Solanum lycopersicum: one gene and its partners. The protein of the gene in region 1 binds, or shares a complex with, the protein of each later gene. Links are inferred from orthologs where the notes say so. Each region holds a gene or a part of one and is shown in the gene's direction. Other genes may lie near its edges. The genes, in order: SWR1 complex subunit 2, actin-related protein 6 and actin-related protein 4.

Evidence for each region.
Region 2: SWR1 complex subunit 2 (region 1) and actin-related protein 6 share a complex: the UniProt entries of both Arabidopsis thaliana proteins name them as parts of the SWR1 chromatin-remodeling complex. The link is inferred for Solanum lycopersicum from reciprocal best matches to the Arabidopsis thaliana genes SWC2 and ARP6.
Region 3: SWR1 complex subunit 2 (region 1) and actin-related protein 4 share a complex: the UniProt entries of both Arabidopsis thaliana proteins name them as parts of the SWR1 chromatin-remodeling complex. The link is inferred for Solanum lycopersicum from reciprocal best matches to the Arabidopsis thaliana genes SWC2 and ARP4.

What each region holds. Positions count from the first base shown.
Region 1 is NC_090803.1:3,732,682-3,736,818, reverse strand, and holds the start of SWR1 complex subunit 2, read left to right. Parts: upstream 1-1,271; 5' UTR 1,272-1,581; coding exon 1,582-1,649; intron 1,650-1,781; coding exon 1,782-1,851; intron 1,852-3,375; coding exon 3,376-3,447; intron 3,448-3,613; coding exon 3,614-3,657; intron 3,658-3,744; coding exon 3,745-4,003; intron 4,004-4,137. UniProt on the Arabidopsis thaliana protein: Component of the SWR1 complex which mediates the ATP-dependent exchange of histone H2A for the H2A variant H2A.F/Z leading to transcriptional regulation of selected genes (e.g. FLC) by chromatin remodeling.
Region 2 is NC_090804.1:24,555,565-24,559,941, reverse strand, and holds the start of actin-related protein 6, read left to right. Parts: upstream 1-1,460; 5' UTR 1,461-1,805; coding exon 1,806-2,497; intron 2,498-2,899; coding exon 2,900-3,131; intron 3,132-3,203; coding exon 3,204-3,267; intron 3,268-3,453; coding exon 3,454-3,538; intron 3,539-3,641; coding exon 3,642-3,692; intron 3,693-3,777; coding exon 3,778-3,840; intron 3,841-3,916; coding exon 3,917-4,046; 3' UTR 4,047-4,377. UniProt on the Arabidopsis thaliana protein: Component of the SWR1 complex which mediates the ATP-dependent exchange of histone H2A for the H2A variant H2A.F/Z leading to transcriptional regulation of selected genes (e.g. FLC) by chromatin remodeling. Binds to the promoter region of FLC chromatin.
Region 3 is NC_090811.1:50,227,786-50,231,436, forward strand, and holds part of actin-related protein 4, read left to right. Parts: intron 1-1,100; coding exon 1,101-1,181; intron 1,182-2,552; coding exon 2,553-2,613; intron 2,614-2,807; coding exon 2,808-2,857; intron 2,858-3,651. UniProt on the Arabidopsis thaliana protein: Involved in several developmental processes including organization of plant organs, flowering time, anther development, flower senescence and fertility, probably by regulating the chromatin structure.

The sequences.
Region 1 (4,137 bases):
AAAAAATAAATCATTGGCAGCGTTTTTTAATTAGTTTTTTTTTAAAAAAATCAAATCGCTGTAAAAGCAGCGATTTACACTTAATTTATATTCTTTTTAAAAAAATTTAATTAAATCGCTGCAAAAAAAATTAGCCGATTAAATTAAGTTTTCAAAAGAAAATAATAAAAATTTAAGTGTAAAACAAAAAATGTGTTAATTAAGAATTCATAACATAAACACATATAAAGATCAGCCCAAAAAATGTGTTAATTAAGATTATTTTTTTTGAAAACTTAATTTAATCGGTTAATTTTTTTTGCAGCGATTTAATTAAATTTTTTTAAAAAAATAATTAAGTGTAAATCCTTTACATCGATTTGATTTTTTTTAAAAAAACTAATTAAAAATCGGTGCAAATGATTTTTTTTTTAAAAAAAAATTAAATCTAACTTTTTTTTTTAAATAAAGTAAAAAAAAATAATTAAAAAAATAAATTGATGGAAGTCACTGCAGAAGCAGCGACTTATACATTTTTTTTTTTTGAAAATCGCTCCGTGTGGAGCGATTTGTTTGATTTTAATTTTTTTTTTAAAAAAAAAGCAAATTTAAGAAATCGCTGCAATTGCAGCGATTTCGCTTTTTCAGAAGGCAAAAGTCACTACATCATGAACAATTTTACCGTTTTGATTTTAAAAAAAATTAATATGCCCTTTTAGAATTTTTGACAATTTTCTTTATCCTTTTAACTCCGCCCTCTAGTAATATTCATAAATATGTTCACTTCCCAAACATAATATTTTTATATTTTAGGTTTATTTAGTATTAAGTACTAACTATAATCTTTCAATATTTTTTGATCCAATAATAGTATATTTTTTTTTCATTTTATTAATTTAACGTGAAATGTGTTATGTAGTAAATACATATTTAATAACAAGGATAAAATAAATACAAAAGATAACTTATTTCTTAATTTTTAAAATTGTGCAAAATATTATTGAATACTATGTTTAATATAACGAAGACACAACTATTATTGGACAAAAAATATATATATTTATTTTACTTATAGAAGGTTTAAATTCAAGCGAACGGAGAAGTATTTTTTTTTAATATATCTAAATTTTGAATCGATAAATTTATTTCATACATTACTGAAAAATAAGTAGGTATCTTATATATTTTTAAATTTAAAGGTAAATTATTAATTTCGTTTTTAAAATATTGACCGCGTTAGAAATATTCTTTTAGGTGACTTATTAAATATAGATATACCTTCCGTCTCACTCATGTTACATGATGTGGAGTGTATTTAGGTTTAGTTAGTCAAATAAAAAAGTATTTATAATATCGTCAATAATTTGAAGATATAAATTAATAATTCACACTAAATTTAAGAGCGTTTTCAATATTTTTTTCTCGCGGATACATGTAAGAAACAAAAATCACAATTGAGTTCTCTTACTTTTATTAATTTTATTAACATAGTTTAGTACTTGTGATTGTTTAACGAACACCAACTGTTCGACAAATTGTCTCTGTAAAAGATTGTAACTTTTTTATAACCAAAATCAAGATTCTGAAATCTGATCAGCAGATATGGAGACCAGTAAAGAGGGAAATGCAGTTTTTCTCGATCGTACTTCTCGTGCTACTAGAGGCAAACGGTAAATCAAGATACCCAATTTCAATCAGTTCATAATTTTTCTGGTTTGGGGTTTGTTTGTTGTGTGTATAATTTTGTGGGTTGAGTTTAATTTAAGTTTATTTGTTGTAAAAATGGGATTTTTATATGACAGGATGACTAAATTGTTGGATGATGAGGTAGAAGAGGATGAACTTTTCTGGAATCAGGAAGCTCTTAAAGATGTATGTTGTTTTTTACAATAACAATGTCACGACATTTTTGTGTTATATTGTAATTGTAGTTAGTAGGTAGCAACTTAAGCTTAATGTTTGTATAGAATTGGAGCCTGACGAGAGTAGAGTGTATGCAGTAGAGTGGTTGTTTCTGATAGACGCTCGGCTCAAGGAGAAGCAACTTTATAAAAGAAAAGATTATTTTTTGAAACTTTGTGGAAAAAAAGATCAATTTTTTTTTCTATATTGGATGGTTTCTTCGTGAGGGGGTTGGGGGCAGAGGTGGAGCTGGGGTTTGAAACTTATGGGTTTGGGATTCTTGTCTTTTTAAGCTTTGGGTTCTAAAATTAATAATGTGTTCTTATTCAATGAGTTTTTAATACAAATACAGGGTTTGGACCAAAGTTGGTGGGTGTTGTCAGGAGAAGAATATGCATTTGACCATGTTAAGTTTATATCAGTTGGTGAATGGTAAGGGGAAATGATAGGAAACAACTATGTCTAATTTAGCTTTAAGAAGTTCAAATAAAGTTGGGAAGAATTGGCCCAAACCATATATTCAGGAGCCTTTCAAGTTTCAGAAAATTTCATCAATTACTGCACCCTTCATCTGTCTCTTTGTGCCTAGGTATCCACTGTAAGTTTCAGAATAGAATGGAGAATATTCATAAAGTGATCACTAGGAGTTGGATAGGCATGTTCAGTGGAAACAAGAAGGGATTTGTTAGCTTGTTATTTCATAGGAAACAGTTAAATGGATTCTGAGTTGGAAAGTTTGTGAACTAAGAAACAAAAAGCTTTAGTATCCGATGCGTGTTTAATGTGGATTATTGAGGCAGATTGAAGTGCAACTGCTACTGGCTTTTAGAGATTCACGTTTCTTTGCTTTCTCTGGCAAGTCCAAAAGTAGCATAGAGCACAAAGAAAATGATATTTATTTTTTGATAAAGGAACACCAAGAAAATGATGAAAGCTGAAGTTTCTCAAATATGGACGTAATTGTGCTTTTACGGAGAATATAACAAAGGAAAGTTTCTACTATGTGTTCTTAGGTTCAAATCCTAGCTGAGACAAAAAACGTTAGGTGATTTCTTACTATCTATCTGTCCTAGCTTTGGTGGACAGAGTTACATGATACTTGCTGGTGGTGGACAGACTTGTCAAGGTGTATGTAAGCTAGCCCACACACCATGGTTATCAAAAAAGATATTTTTCTCTGGAATAACTGCTGGTTCTTTACTTTACTGGTCTAAAATAATGATGATAATTATAATAATGCAGCCTCCATTATCCCAGCAGCTCTAGTTTGAGTGAAAATGACTGCAGCCTCCGTTATTCGAGCAGTAGTAGTCTTTTACTCAAATCATAGGCCTTGACATTTCGAATCCATGGTTGTAATTGGGCCTGAAAGTTTTGATATTTTAATTGCTTTGGAAATCCAGATCCACAAACCTTCCATAAAATATTTGGTTTGTGCTTGTTTGGCAAATTTGCTTATTGAATTTAATGAGCTTTTGGTTGGATGTAAATCAGGAAGAGAATGACATTGAATATGAAGAGGAAGGGGAAGCTGTGGATGTTTTCGACAGTGACTTTGATGAAGATGTAAGTTCTAAGTGTTCCATTTCTCATCACTGAACCTTTCATTTCACAAATTTTTGTGATGGATTGGTTACTTGTACTGGCAGTTCTAGCTTGGAAGGGTACGTTTATCGATAATTCTGTTCTCGAATGACCTATGTTAAAAATGACTTTCCTAATATTGTTTCAGGAACCCGAGCCTGATGAAGAAGGAGAAAATGAACCCGATGACAGGTTTGACACACTCACGTTGATGGGAAGTGTCCGTTTAGCTCCATATGGATAGTCCTTAGATTTATATTCTTCTCTTTTCTATGGCAGGACACAGACCAAAAAGCGATTGACCTATCCAGGAAGACCGCCTGCAAAGAAGAAAAAGAAAATGAAAGCCCTTACCAAGACAGAAAAGGCACACCAAGAAAATGAAGAAGCTCCAGATCCGTCCACCCCTTCTGAACATCATGGTGCTCATGATGATACTGAAGCAGAAAGAACAATTAGGAAATCAACAAGAACGGCTGTCGTTGTAAAACAAGCTGAAAGGGAAGCCATTCGTGCAGCCTTGCAGGCAACAACAAAGGTAGGGTGCTTGCACTATAATGCTATTTGTGATAGTACAAATAACAAATTATAATTTCTTACATGGCAGGCTTCTTTATTTTCTGGATTTAGGACACAGCCCTTTTATTCTTGTTTATTTATTTAGTTTGTAAT
Region 2 (4,377 bases), on another chromosome or scaffold:
TTAGAGATCATTGGTAGGACAATGGATGCAATGCAAATCTTTTGTGATAGCCAAGAAACATTGACTTATATTAAAGACCTTAAGTATCATAGTAAGACTAAGTACATAGACACAAAGTATAATTTTATTAAAGACATTATAGCTCGTAAGGAAATCACTTTATAGTGTATTTCTACACACAAGATGGTAGTAGATCCCTTGACAAAGCCAATATCTGTCTTTGTTAAACATGGAAAATCTATAAGCTCGCGTGAGTTATAAAATGATATATTTTCTTATTTGAATATCTTGATCGTGATGTATGGATAGTTTTTTTTTATGTTTTTTGTGCTTATTTCATACATTATTATTAATCAGCACATTCACAATATTAGAATATGTCGAACAACTTGATAATATTGAGTTTCTCACATGAGCAATCAGCTCGGGGTCTTATGGAAAGTGAGTCAAGATGAGACATTTGTGTTTCTTAACGCTAAAAAGGATAGTTAATAAATGTGACACCTTTGATTAAGAATATATTATTTAAAGTTGCCTTAATAAAAGATTAGGAGGAGATCTAAGATAAATGTCAAAAATGGTCGAAATTATGAATTTCCCATAATACTTGTAGCCATATGTGAGATCTCCTCAAAAAGTCTAATAAAATGGTAGAATTCAAGTCAAAAAAATGATTTACTTGGACCAAAATTTGTAGGGTGTAAAAAAATAAAAATTGACATACATTTCATATTGCATGTGCTTCATTACCGCAAATTGAAATGGTATGAGACCTTGAAAAGATTTTTTTTATGACTTTGACAATATCATAAAGTGATGGGTTAGTGTATACTAGTTTGTATGAATCTAAAAGTTATGAAAATGTCACCTGAAGGAGTAATGTTATAATTAATCCTCATCATAGTGATATGTGGGCGAAAAAAGATCATGTTAGATATAAACACATTATGCTTGTGTTTGAGTGTTGTCCATTATAAAACCTACTTTAGTTGACATCATAAGGGTTGACACAAGGTATATGAGAATTGAAAATGAATAGAGAATTAAAAAACCATATGTGTATATAAACATGATTGGCGTATCTAAGGCACTTTATATGACATCATAATATATCATAAATGATCATAAAAAGGGTAGTAGTCTCTTATGCTGATCTAAAAAGAGATTTCTAGTGTAAGAGCTTTCAAACTTATTGTCAAAGCGGTCACGACAATACACTTGCTATGAATGTGTGAATGAATTTACTTTTCAAAGCCCAACGTGCTTCATCCCTTCATGTGTGAGTGTGAGATGTTGGAAATAGATACATCTATTAATAGGTTGATTAATAACTTGCTTCACTCATGAAGTAAGTTATAACTATACTAAAAATAACTTTGTATGATAAAAGAGGAAGAATTATGTATTCTTTAATGGAGTGAGAGTTATGAGATAAGGGCTATTGTAAATAAGAGTTGCAAATCTTAATCTTATCCTAAAAAAGGAAGGATTTGAGATCGCCAAAGACGATACAAAAACAATACAAGACTCTATAATAATCTCGTAAGAACATAGTGATAATACTAATCCTAGAATAAGAAAGATATATATAATTCCACATAAATTTTTTAGTATATCAAACCCTTTCTCATATAATAAATCATGATACTCGTAACAAATGTTTGCCACCCCCATTAGCCGCTTTTTTCTTTCAACATAAATTCTCACTTCAATTCGTCCCAAAAAATCAATTATCATGCCGATGGATTTAATTCATTGCGCCATAAATTAGGAAGCTGGGTGTTCAGTTAGTGTGGCAATCGGAAATGTCGAATGTTGTAGTTTTGGACAACGGCGCCGGCGTAATCAAGGCTGGTATCGGCGGCGAAAGAGATCCAACAGCTATTGTCCCCAACAGCATGGGCCGTCCACTTTCTTCCAAGAAATGGCTTATGGCTGACCAGCTTCTTTCCCCAGACGTCGACCTCACTTCAGCCACCGCCCGCCGCCCTTTCGACCGCGGTTATCTTATCAACCCTGATCTCCAATCTTCCATTTGGTCTCACATCTTCTCGAACCTTCTCAAAATTACTCCTTCACACTCTTCTCTACTTCTTACTGAACCCCTTTTCAATATCCCTTCCATACAACGTTCAATCGACGAAATTGTATTCGAAGATTTTAATTTTAAGGCTCTTTATGTATCAGATTCCCCCTCTTTAGTTCATCTTTATGAAGCATCTCGTCGCCCTTATGGCCTTGTTTCTAAAGCCCAGTGTAGCTTAGTTGTCGACTGTGGATTTTCCTTTACTCATGCTTCCCCGGTAGTTCAGAATTTTACATTGAATTATGCTGTTAAAAGACTTGATCTTGGGGGTAAAGCTTTGAGTAATTACTTAAAGGAGTTGGTCAGTTATAGAAGTGTTAATTTGATGGATGAAAGTTTCCTTATGGATCATGTTAAGGAGGAACTTTGCTTTGTCTCTTTGGATCTTCCCAGGGACTTGCACATTGCTAGGTAATGCTCATTAATTTCGATACTTGTTGTGTCATTGTTATCCTCCTGTGGATATCAAAGTTCTTGCCATTCCGAATTAAGTGCTGCACCTTATGGGGTCTGTTTGCTCTTATTTTAGTGTAATAACTAGTTTAAAAGGATGGGGGCATGAACGCAGGATGGGTCGTGTAGTGTACTCGACTACCATTAAGTAGTTCAAAGGGATCTCTAGTCAATTACATGTTTTGGCCCCTCTGGAACAAATGTAGAATTAGGATCCTTCAATGCCGTGATGTTTGAACCGCTTTCTAAACTTAAAACTTAGATTAAGCGAGCAGAAAATCCACATTAAAGTAAGATGATCTTTGAGTGTCAAACATGCTGGGATCTTCCTTATTCATAACTACTATGTCAATCTCCCAGGAAACCGGGGAAGGACAATTTGTTTAGGTGTACGTATGTTCTTCCTGACGGTATTACACATACTAAGGGCTTTTTGAAAGACCCTGAAGAACCAAAGAGATATCTTCCTTTGTATGATGAAGCTCCGCAGCAGGTAGCAGGGGAACAAATTGATATGGATCAGCTCGAGAACACTGACAATTCCGAAGACAGGAACAGAAACAATGGATCAAAAATTGATTTGACAAAAAATGTACTTTTTCCAAGCCCTTATAAATAGCTCGTCATCCTCTTTCCATTTATTCTAATTTATTTGTATGAACAGGAATTTGGCTTAACAAATGAGCGGTTCCTTGTCCCAGAGATGATGTTTCGTCCAGCTGACTTGGGTCCGTATCACAGTGTATCTTTGACTTGTATTTCAGTTTTGTGTTCAGTTGAAGAATCTGCTTCAATAATTCAGCATTTTTTTCCCTTTCATGTGAATTAGAGTGTCTGGAAGTGTAGCTCTATGAATTTGTTTATTCACAAGTATGAATTTGGTTGTCAGCATCTCAGTTATTTGTGGCTTACAGGACTGAATCAGGCTGGACTTGCAGAGTGCATTCATCGAGCTATCAGTTCCTGCCATTCTCATCTTCACCCTGTTCTATATGAGAGGTAGTGCAGAATCATCGGTGCATCTCAAAAGCTTATCTACTAATATTGGTTTATGTTTATCTTCCTTCTTCTAATGTCAATGTATTGAATTTGGACGAGGAAGCATTATTCTGACGGGAGGCAGTACTCTATTTCCTCATTTTGCCAAAAGACTGTAAGAATGCAGCCTTTATTGCCCATTGCTTTAAAAAGGCTGGATGTTCTATTTGCTTATGTCTTGAAATTTCATCTAAATGCAGAGAAATGGACCTTCGGCCTCTTGTCCCAGATAAATATTGTTTAAAGATCACAACTCAAGAAGAGTAATATACTGTCCTTCTGGAGAAACTGTTCAAAGAGTTTCTACTACTCTAACATGTCTTTTGTTACTGTTTGCAGTCCTATTTTAGGTGTTTGGCGTGGGGGATCACTCTTGGCATCAAGTCCTGACTTTGATGCAATGTGTATCACAAAAGCTGAATATGAGGAGCTGGGATCAGCAAGATGTCGAAAGAGATTCTTCCACTAACTTTTCTAGTGTTATGGAGAGGAGAAATTCAGATTTTAGGATGATAGTTGGCCTCTGCAGTTGCCAATGAGCTAAATACCGAGGAAATTGAAAACAGATTTGCTCTGAAATGATTCTTATTCTAGTCTGTTTCTTATAAATATTGCAGAACTCTCCTTGGTTGAAATCTAACTTATCTGCAATGAAATGTTGTTGGCATCTTCAATGTGAATACTGGTGTCGCTCGTCCTTGATTGTAGTATGGGTGTTATGTTGCAACTTGTTAAGGACAAGATGAAATTACACATATCATTGGCTGTACGACTACGACATGCGGATCAAGACTGATGGA
Region 3 (3,651 bases), on another chromosome or scaffold:
AGATAGTTCATTATAGATTTAGTGACAAGATCTATAAGAACAAGATTAATTGAGAATTCTCAAAAAAAAATAAATAAACTGAGCAAGAATAATTGACTAACTTGGAGATGGGTAGAGGGGCAGGCTATTATTCATTGAGTTTTGAACTGTGTTTCTGCTGGTCCTTGGGTATTTCTCAGTTATAAAATAAATAAATTGTGTTAAATTTGGATCATTTGACACAACAAAATATTTAACATAACTTATTAATTAACCAAAAATGGCTTTTAGCGAAAATTTATCTTAAGAGTGAGTTATTTTTCTATGTTAGAATTATTGATTGTTTTATATATTATGCTTTAATATAGATCCATATAGGTGATATCTACTTGTTGGGAATAAGCTTGAGTCTTGTTGAAACCTACACTCTAGAACCTCTTTTACCTGTGTCAGACACTTGCATATGTACCCTTTGCATCTAGATTGCCATGCAGTCTTTGCGTGATTGCTCTTATATTAATGTAAATAATGTCACATTAGTGATTCATCCTAAAAAGGAAAGACAATTATGTAGATACTGCTTGCAATCTATTTTTGAAGATCAGACTACAATTTTTTTCCCGGAGAATTGTAACAAGTTGTTATATAAAGGTAGACCACACAAGCTGTGAAGTCACCCAAAACAGTGTGAATTATAGTTAAGAGTTCCTAGATCTAAGCCTCCCTACATGTAATCTAGAACATTAAAAATTGACTGCGATTCCTCTATGTATTCTTTTTTACACTAAATTGTGAAAGTCTAAACGGTTGATCTTCAACTTCTGGATAGTGCTTCGTTTGTGTTCAAAACATCTCTGATTCCTTTTATTCACCAAATGCATGATGGGACAATCCTCCATTTCTCTTTTTGACTTCTTTGATCACTTGAATTCCTGCTTTATGTGAAGAAATGTGGTATTACTGATTCATTTGAAGATTAAGAGAAAAAAGTCTTCCTTATATGCTTTTCTTGTGTTACTTTTTTGTTCTTTTGTCCCGTCATTTGGTTAAGTTGATGCTTGCCTATTGAAGATTGGGAGAAAAAAGAACCTTTTTCTTCTGCTACTTACATTCCTTTACAGGGAATGCTTACTGATCGATCCAAAGGAGCATCCAATGTTACTTGCAGAGCCTTGTTCAAACACTCAGCAGCAGAGGGAAAAGTGAGCAATGCGATCTGTATTTTAGCAGTCTTATTACTTCACATTAAATCATGTCATTTATCTTTTGGGCATTGTGTAATAATAATGTACATGATTTCAAGCTTTATTATTCCTGAATGTGTTGCCTTTTTCTGCCTATTTTTGCGTTTTATGTTAATTTATTGGAGAACACACTTTTATTAGGAGGACGAGAAAAATATAAGATGAAAGCACATCCTCAAGTTAAGTTAACATATTTATCAATCCTGTAGGCCCACATGTCTTTTCTATTTCAAAGGGGAAAGGTATGAGAATTCTAACAGCTTCCTTTTATTTAAAAGTCATTAACAAACCAACAAGGTTGGTGGTGAAGATGTAAGTACTCCTTCATCCTTAACCAAGAGGTCTCGGGTTTGGGTCTCCTTTGTTAGGGAGCGCTCCCCCCCACCCCCACCCCCACCCCCACCCCCAAACCCAAACCCAATGTGGGACTTCCCGGAGTGAATCCGGATTTAGTCGGGCTCCAATGTGGGTATCGGAGAGGTGGAGACAGGGTGGGAAGCCATAAAAAGAAGAAGTCATTAACATCAGAAGTTTGTTAGTTTGATGTGAATACAATATATATCCAATTAAACGAAGTATAAGGTGATGGGTACTTTTATAATTGATGAATGCTAAAAGTGCAGCTATTTGTGATGAATAAGGACCTAGAGCACCGATACAGTGATGTAGCAATATGGAGTAGGGTGAAAGAGAAGGGGGGAATATGAGAAAAGAGAGGAGAGAAGAGCAGTGAGAGTAGAATAAAACAGAAATAGAGTGAGAGAAGAATCCACAAAAGTGAGATTTTAGAAGCAGTTCATCTGTAAATCTCTTTTGACTAGAGCGATTCTTGTGCCATGCTTGAGTAATTTGGACCTATCAAAATACTTCTCTAAGCTATCTTCCCTATTAAAGAACAAATCTAGGTCAAGTTCCCATCAAATTTATGTCTGTCCACCTTGACTTTTTTTATAAGGTCATTGTGGTCCTCACAGGTGGTGGATTTCTCTCAAACATAAGATCACTTATTAGGGCCTTGCCTGGAATTCCTATTCGTGGTGGTCTGCTAAGTTAGGACTGTCAACTACTGACTGGTGTACTGATCAACTGTTTGTTTGCCAAGAATGGATCCAAAGTGTCAATATAAAAGCCTTATCTTGTTTAATTTGTAATACCTTCTAGAATCAGTCGAGTCCAAGGAATTACTTTCCTTAACAAGAACTGTCTACTGTGAAAGAAATTGTCCATCATGAACCCAAAAAAGAGGAAAGGCAGCCTGGTGTTTGCATTATTATGTCATCTGTATGCAAAATGGAAATTACAGTGGACTGATGATCATCTATTTAACAGGGCTGCAGAGATAATGTTTGAAAAATACCAAGTTCCAGCATTGTTTTTGGCCAAAAATGCTGTAAGTGCCTTAACCCACTTCTAATCTTTAATTTGTAGCGTCTTAAACATAACCTTCTTTGTGCTATTTAGTAGTGGAACTTCCACTTTTGATTCAAGAACAAAGAAAAAATAATAAAGAAAGCTGTAGCTTCATAACATTACAAGATCATTCCACTCTAGTTGTTAATTTTCTCATGGTACTGTTAATGCTAGGTTCTCACATCTTTCGCATCAGGACGTGCAACTTCTTTGGTTGTTGACAGGTAGGATGTTATGTTCTACTTACTGGCTACCCTTTTGAATTACTTATTTGACTATTCTTGTCAATAATAGAGTTCTTTTACTGAGATATCTAGTCTCTTAGCCGTAAGATCATTTATAATATTTGCATTATCTCTTTGTACCTTCTCCTTGAAGTGGGATATGAAAAAATTGTAGACTTCATGACTTCTGGTGCATGATGGCATCTTAATTTTAGTATCTTTTCACCTTGAATAGTTAAATTTCCATACATTTACATCTGTAGCAGTCTAAATTTTATTCATAACTGTATGATGATCGATGAGCGAATGGTGAAAATGAGAGAATCTCAAGTAGGCTAGCATCTTATTCGTTAAGAATTATGTTTGAGAATATGGAGATATGATGTCTATCTTTGCAATCAGTATTAAGAATATGTGATAATGTGAATTATAGAAATGCTATAATGCTCTAGTTTAGATTAGGTGGATACTATTCTGTATTGTTGCTCTAGTTTATATTAGGTGGATACTATTCTGTATTGTTATTCTCTTTCAATCTCCACTATTGCTTAGTATACCTGTAATACCCTTCCATTTCAATCATCTTTTTAATAATTCTAGTATGCGATGTCTTCTGTTTCTTGAGCAAGTACCAGTTTTGTATATTTAAGCAAAAAAACTCAATAGGTTGTGCTGAAACCATATTTTCAATGGGGAAAAAAGAACAGAAATCTAGGATATTAATGATTGAAGCAGTGTCTTCTATGTAGTTCTGTTTACACCAAAACCAAAAAAAGTTTATCGCAGGTCTACTT